2 linked regions of the Mus musculus genome follow. The protein of the gene in region 1 interacts with the protein of each later gene in a biochemical or structural test. Links are inferred from orthologs where the notes say so. Each region holds a gene or a part of one and is shown on either strand. Other genes may lie near its edges.

What was found.
Region 2: the proteins of Glg1 (region 1) and Sele form a complex in vitro, tested with the Homo sapiens proteins (2 studies listed by BioGRID and IntAct). The link is inferred for Mus musculus from reciprocal best matches to the Homo sapiens genes GLG1 and SELE.

The regions. Positions count from the first base shown.
Region 1 is NC_000074.6:111,189,693-111,193,514, reverse strand, and holds part of Glg1 (Golgi apparatus protein 1 isoform 2 precursor), read left to right. Parts: intron 1-787; coding exon 788-991; intron 992-2,253; coding exon 2,254-2,325; intron 2,326-3,822. UniProt on the Homo sapiens protein: Binds fibroblast growth factor and E-selectin (cell-adhesion lectin on endothelial cells mediating the binding of neutrophils).
Region 2 is NC_000067.6:164,050,971-164,054,764, forward strand, and holds part of Sele (E-selectin precursor), read left to right. Parts: intron 1-566; coding exon 567-752; intron 753-854; coding exon 855-1,043; intron 1,044-1,486; exon of another isoform or gene 1,487-1,994; coding exon 1,995-2,183; exon of another isoform or gene 2,184-2,565; coding exon 2,566-2,754; exon of another isoform or gene 2,755-2,847; coding exon 2,848-3,024; exon of another isoform or gene 3,025-3,050; intron 3,051-3,646; coding exon 3,647-3,757; intron 3,758-3,794. UniProt on the Homo sapiens protein: Cell-surface glycoprotein having a role in immunoadhesion. Mediates in the adhesion of blood neutrophils in cytokine-activated endothelium through interaction with SELPLG/PSGL1. May have a role in capillary morphogenesis.

The sequences.
Region 1 (3,822 bases):
CTTAGCCGTTAAAGGCTAGGCTCACAACCAAAATATATTTGTATATAATTCAGTTACTAAATGGGCAGAAGAAACTCAGGGTACCTTTGCAAACATTTTTATTTTGGAAAAAAAAAAACAATAGCCTGGGATAGTGGCACATACCTATAATCGAAGTAATCCCAGTGCTTGGCTTGTTTTTAAGTACAGAGTGTCTGTCTCTGTCTGTCTGTCTGTGTGTGTGTGTGTTGGCACACATGAGGATCAGAGGACAATTGGGGGAGTCATTTCTCTCCCTTCATGTGTATACCAGGGATTAAATATAGAACATTAGGTTTGGTGGCAAATCACCTTTACCCACTAGACCCATCAGTTGTCTTTCAAACTTGACTATAAAAGCACTTTAACTTGTAAATATCTAACTCTTAGAGGTAAATGAGTAGGTACTTTTGCAGTATTATTTCAGTATTCACATAAACTGTGCTTGTAACAATAGGTTATTTTCTCATGAATTTCTTGCCAAAAGCAAGCGCAGAACAGCCAGGTCTACACAGAGAAACTCTGTCTCAAAAAAAGAAAAAAACAAACAATTTTTTCTAGCTATACATGTACAAAACTAAATAACTGATGTAATTTAAAAATTTAAAGCCTACCGCTTTAATGGGGGGAGGAGGTATCCTAACATTTAAACCATACTAATTCATTAACTGTTGAGCTATCTGTCCAGTCTCTCTGCACCCGTTTCTTTAACTAAATGTTTATTTGAATACTGTAGGGTGAAAGTTTTTAAATATTTTTGCTATTTTAGGATGCACATTCACAAGGTGAGGTGGTATCATGTTTGGAAAAAGGCCTGGTAAAAGAGGCAGAAGAAAAAGAGCCGAAGATTCAAGTCTCAGAACTCTGCAAGAAAGCCATTCTTAGGGTGGCTGAGCTGTCCTCGGATGACTTTCATTTAGACCGGCATTTGTATTTTGCTTGCCGAGATGATCGGGAGCGCTTTTGCGAGAATGTGAGTTACTAAAAAGCTGTTTTTCCTTTCTTTTCAAGTGTATCTGTATTATTGTATTCCAGAATGAAATATACCAGCACAACCTTCACCAATAGGAAAACAACGGAAGCAGAAGATGGAATTAATCCCAAGATACAAAAAATAGTATTGATGCTCAGTCTTGAAGATGTAACTTCAAGTTAACAATTTGTTTCTGACACTCAGTATATACATTATTTTTTCTTCTTTCCCTCATCTTTCATTTTTTAGGTTGGTTGGTTGGTTGGTTTTTATACTCTCTGTATAGCCCTGGTTGTCTTGGAACTCACTATTTAGACCAGGCTAGTCTCAAGTCATCTGATTCTGTTCTCTAAATGCTATGATTAAAGGTGTAGACCACCATGCTGGTGTCAGTTGAAGACTGATCTGTGGTGCAGAGGTGGGACACCGCTTTAACCCCAGCACTGAGGAGCAGCGGCTATCACATCTTGAGTTTGACAGTTCTGTTCTATAGAAGGGATTCCAGCACAGCCAGGGCTACATACAGAGGCCTTGTCTGAAGAAAAACAGAAAAAACAAACTCTATTTTATCTATAGGAACCTTACTCTACCAGGAAGTCCTGTTCATATCCTATGGCTAAAGCTCTGTTACATTACATTTTTATATGGTTTTGATTAAGGTTAATAAAATAGATGTGACTGGATGTGGTGGCAGGGGCAGGTGGCTCTTGTGAGGCCAGCCTGGTCTACAGAGTGAGTTCCAGGACAGTTAGGGCTACACAGAGAAACCCTGTCTCAAAACAAACAAACAAACAAACAAACAAACAACAAAAGGGAAAGAGAAATTATCTAATGTTAAAGCCAAGTCCTTGGATAGAGCCTGATGATTCATTAGACACCTCTTAGTTCTTCTCTGTCTACATTTCCTTCCTGCTTTTCTTCTTCCTTTGCTTCCTTCTTTCCTTTCTGTGCTGCAGATTGAATGCAGTACCTTATACATGCTGGATCCCTGATCTTTGTATACACTTTAGCACTATCTGTCTTTTCTGACTCACGTATGCCCTCCCCTTCTGCCTGCTGTTTTGAAATTTTAAAATTAACTATCAGAGCCACTGATTATAAAGTTTTATTGACTGTGGTATCAAATTGTAAGAGAGTCCCTCTGATAATGTCCTTGAGTTTTTGAATTAACAGTGTATTTAATAAAAGTTCTGTATAAGACTGGATATATCACAGCAAAACTACTTAGCTAATAGTAATAATATGTATGTTTTATCTTATAGACACAAGCTGGTGAAGGAAGAGTGTATAAATGCCTATTTAACCATAAGTTTGAAGAATCCATGAGTGAAAAGGTACCTCTTTGAAAAGAACTAAGTCTTACTAATTTCATAAAGCTTTCACAAACTCTTGCTTCCTTTTTTGGTTTAGGTTTGAGTGATTGTTTCTGGAATACAGTCTCATAGCCCGAATTGGCCTTAATCTCAGCATGGAACCAAGGAATTTCTTGAAATTCTGATCCTCCTTCCTCTGCCTCCTAAGTGCTGGGGTTAGCATGCGCCACCACTCCCAGCTTTCACAGACATGTTCTTATATAGTTTTCTTGTGGTATTTACAAAGGGTTGATTTCAAAACACTACCCACATACTCAAACACCGAGAAACTTAGTGTTTCTTATATAAAATGGCACGGTGTTTGTGTATAACTTAAGCAATTTCTCCTGTGATTTTTTTTTTTTTATTTTATTATTTTTTTTTTTTATTCATTTATTATATGTAAGTACACTATAGCTGTCCTCAGACACTCCAGAAGAGGGCGTCAGATCTCGTTACGGATGGTTGTGAGCCACCATGTGGTTGCTGGGATTTGAACTCCTGACCTTCGGAAGAGCAGTCGGGTGCTCTTACCCACTGAGCCATCTCACCAGCCCCCATCTCCTGTGAATTTTAAATAGTGTCTAGATCTCTTAAAATACCTCACATAATGCAGATGAGGTGCTGCTATAACGAAATTGCTACGTTATATTGTTTAGGGGATAATGGTTACAAAATCATTTGTCTATAGTTAATGCAAACACATTTTTCTTTTTCCCAAATATTTTCAAACTCTGATTCTACAGAATTGCCTTTATCGAGGTATGAATGACTGATGAATTGAGACGTTCTGGGTATTAATGACTGATGAATTGAGACACCTTTGTTTAAGTACATGAAGTATATTTGAATAAACTGGTGTGAGAGCACATGATGGCACTCAGAAGGCTAAGGCGGGGGGGGGGGGGGGGATTTAAAGTTTGAGGCCAGTCTGAATACACAGTCATACTCCATCTTAAAATCAAGTAAAGCCTGGCATAATTGTTTAGAGGGTAAAGGCACATGTCACCAAGCCTGATGACTTTGAGTTCATCCCAGAGCCCACATGATTGGAGGGAGGATTACTCAATCTCTGCAGGTTGTCCTCTGGCCACACACATGCTATAGTACACTCACCCACCCCCAGCGCGCGCACGCGCGCGCACACACACACACACACACACACACACACTATAAATAAATAAATGTAAAAAATAATATATTTGCCTCAAACCAAAAAGGGAGGCAGGGAAGAACCTCTAATCATGATGCCTATATAATCAAATGTTATTTGGGAGTAAAATTGAAGAAAAAAATTTAAGATTTATTTATTTTATTTATGTAAGTACACTCTAGCTGTTTTCAACCATACCAAAAGAAGGCATCAGATCCCATTACAGATGGTTGAGAGCCACTATGTGGTTGGTGGGAATTGAACTCAGGACCTCTGGAAGAGCAGTCAGTACTCTTAACCACTGAGCTATCTCTCCAACCCAAAGA
Region 2 (3,794 bases), on another chromosome or scaffold:
TTCCACTTTTTTTAAAAAAATGGGTATTTCTGAGATCCTGGTGACGCATAAAGGAAGGTGTCACGGAGAGAGTGCAAACGCATCTAGACAGCATCGTAACTTTCCCATGGACTTTCCTGGTCGGCTCTCCCATGCAATAGGACCTTGTTGAGCTCTGTACCGCTCAGGGAGCTTCTCTTTGCACGGCAATCTTAGTTCTCTGGAGCAATCGAAAAGATTCGCTGTTTAGGTCTTTTGTATGCTAATATTGTTTTTAGGGTGAGTCTTGGATCTTGATCTAGAGGCTATGGGTTTTGTTGTTGTTGTTGTTGTTTCCATGTGTAGTAAAATAGATCTGAGACCACCCAGCACAGTTAAAGTGAAAATTAATGAGAAAAGATGAAAATGTGAATAGTGTAGTAAAGACTTAAGCATCTGTTATGGATCTGTTATCCATAACTGGCACAGGAGTTTGGGTTATGCCCTTTGAAGATGGTCTCATCTTCTTTGACAAACACTAATTCAAGAGAAAATGAAAGCATTTGTTTTCTTTGAGTAAAACTCTCTCCTCTCTTTCATCTCCTCAGTGGTTGAATGTGAAGCTTTGACCCACCCTGCCCACGGTATCAGGAAATGTTCCTCAAATCCTGGGAGCTACCCATGGAACACGACATGCACGTTTGACTGTGTGGAAGGGTACAGGCGAGTTGGAGCTCAGAATCTACAGTGTACCTCATCTGGCATCTGGGATAACGAGACGCCATCATGCAAAGGTAGGGTTCTTCCAGGTTGAGATTCATCGAACTCTCCTCCTCAACCAAGGCTTGGAATGGGCAAGCCAGCTTTACTAATGCGAATGGGTGCTTGTGTTACAGCTGTGACCTGTGACGCCATCCCTCAGCCTCAGAATGGCTTTGTGAGCTGCAGCCACTCAACAGCTGGAGAACTTGCGTTTAAGTCATCCTGTAACTTCACCTGTGAGCAGAGTTTCACGTTGCAGGGGCCAGCGCAGGTTGAATGCAGCGCACAAGGGCAGTGGACACCACAAATCCCAGTCTGCAAAGGTGAGTAAGAAACTGTCTCTTCTAACGCTTTCATTTCTTTAAAAACAAAAAAACAAAACAAAAAAAAAACCTGTCATCTTGGCCACTGGCGATGACATCAGGTATCGTCTGTTAACTATGATACCAATCGTGAGGGCAAGAGAAATACCTCTGACATTGACTTAAAAACAAAACACATAGCCAGGAAGCACGACTGGATGCAAGTAACATTTCTTTTGCTTGTTTATAAAGTAGGGTATATTAAATATTAATTTACTGGCATTGGCGTAGAGTAAGAATTAGTAACGTATGAGAAATCCTGTTTAAAATGTAAAATTCAGTACAATGAAGGTACTGCTCAGCCCTCACATTGTATCACCCACTTCTGAAGTTCCAAGCTAGCAGTGATGACAGTAGCCCCAGCTTGGTGTCTGTCACCTACAAGGATTGTTTTGACACAGACATAGAAGCAATACAGTGTAATTGTCTTTACGGCAAAAGCAAGAATGTCCAGGTGAGCAGTTTTCATTATGCAGCTCTGGCATCATTAGAGCTAAATTTAGTATTGAGTGAGTTTCAGGGGCAAAAATGCCACAACGCCAAACTCATGCCAAGAGCAGGCAAACCCTGCATGGAAGGCTTCGTCTCTTTCCTCTTCTGGCAGCACGTGGAAGCAGTCACGGCCCGTGCCATGCTCTTCAGTGATGTAAAATCCCATTAACCTCACTCTGCACATCAGACCAGCATGGAGGGACCATATTCTTGCTAATAGTTGCCTCGAATTAGGCATCATTATCATGGAGATATAATATGTGTATCACATAGGAAACAGCCGTTTTGCCAGAAATTCACAATGAAGATCCATCTTGAGTTCCTTACTCATAGCCTTGTGCCAGTTGAACTTTGCCATCAAATGACAGGTGTTCTCCAGTCTCACCATGGTGTTTTCTCGCCCCTTCTCTGGTTTCTCAGCTGTCCAGTGTGAAGCCTTATCTGCGCCACAGCAGGGCAACATGAAATGTCTTCCCAGTGCTTCTGGACCTTTCCAAAATGGGTCCAGTTGTGAGTTCTCCTGCGAAGAAGGATTTGAACTGAAGGGATCAAGAAGACTTCAGTGTGGTCCAAGAGGGGAATGGGATAGCAAGAAGCCCACGTGTTCAGGTACATGCTTTTTAAAAACTATTTCTCTCTCTCTCTCTCTCTCTCTCTCTCTCTCTCTCTCTCTCTATCTCTCTGTCTCTCTCATTCTGTCTCTCTCTGTCTCTCTGTGTGTGTACTCCAAGACCCATATGTGGAAGTCAGAGGACAACTTGTCAGAGTCGATTTTCATGTGGGTCCCATAATATGGGTCTCAAGAATGAAATTCAAGTTGCTAAGATTGGTAGCAAATGCCTTTACCCCCTGACCCATCTCTCTGGCCCCTGCAGACATACTTTAGATTTTACTGTAAGATAGAAGCTATTGAACATCTTTGTGGCTTGGCTACCCTGTGACACCTGCTATAGCCCAATGCTTATATCTTGGAATGGCTTCTCTCTTCTAGCTGTGAAATGTGATGATGTCCCTCGGCCCCAGAATGGCGTCATGGAGTGTGCTCATGCTACTACTGGAGAATTCACCTACAAGTCCTCATGTGCCTTTCAATGCAATGAGGGCTTTAGCTTGCATGGCTCAGCTCAACTTGAGTGCACATCTCAGGGAAAGTGGACCCAGGAAGTCCCCTCCTGCCAAGGTAACACTGAGTTCAGACTCTCATGACACACATCAACTCCGTGGTTTTGTGGTATGGGTTTCTTGACTTCCGCTATGGGCATGTCCTTTGCAGTGGTACAATGTCCAAGCCTTGACGTCCCGGGAAAGATGAACATGAGCTGCAGCGGAACAGCAGTTTTCGGCACAGTGTGTGAGTTTACATGTCCTGATGATTGGACACTCAATGGATCTGCAGTTCTGACGTGTGGTGCCACGGGACGCTGGTCTGGGATGCCGCCTACCTGTGAAGGTAAGGCACTGATGGATGGTGGTTGCCTTGGGGAGTAGAGGGAAGAGGGGTGTTATGTTGCTAAGGAAGCTAACTGTCCATTATGTCCAAATCAGAATGGTAGGTCATAGAGATGGATAAAAAGACAACAGGAAATGATGTCTGTGGACCAGGTAGAATGTTCTGTTCTTCTCTGACACCCCCCTTTCTTCTCCAACGCTCACCACTGACCCCCGCTGTTATGATTTATTCCTTGGTCCTTCTCTGTTCTCCCTTTCTCTCCCGTTATACCTCCCGTTTCTGCTCCCTCGAAGTGGGATTCTGATCATTGGAAAGGGGAGATCTAGAGACAAAAGGAGGAGCAGGAAATAAGTGTGTGTGAGAGAAGGCAGGGGTAGTTCAGTGCTAACCGAGGTATGGTGACGTGACGTAGTGCCAAAGAGCTTTACAAGGCTACGTCCTAACTGGGAGCACGATATGCAGCCTCAACGGCGGTTTGAGAGGAGTTGATTAAATCTTCAATGACAGTAATAAATCTTCTGCTGATAGTAATAAATATACAGAGAAAAGGCCAAACGGCAAGGCCGAAAGACTCGAAAGCCAAGTGTTGCTTATACTGTCTCCTCCCAATTTGTTTCCTCAGCCCCAGTCAGCCCCACCCGTCCCTTGGTAGTTGCACTTTCTGCGGCAGGAACCTCACTCCTGACATCGTCCTCATTGCTCTACTTGTTGATGAGATACTTTCGGAAGAAAGGTAAATTCAGGCATCCACTCCAAAAATGAATTTGAAA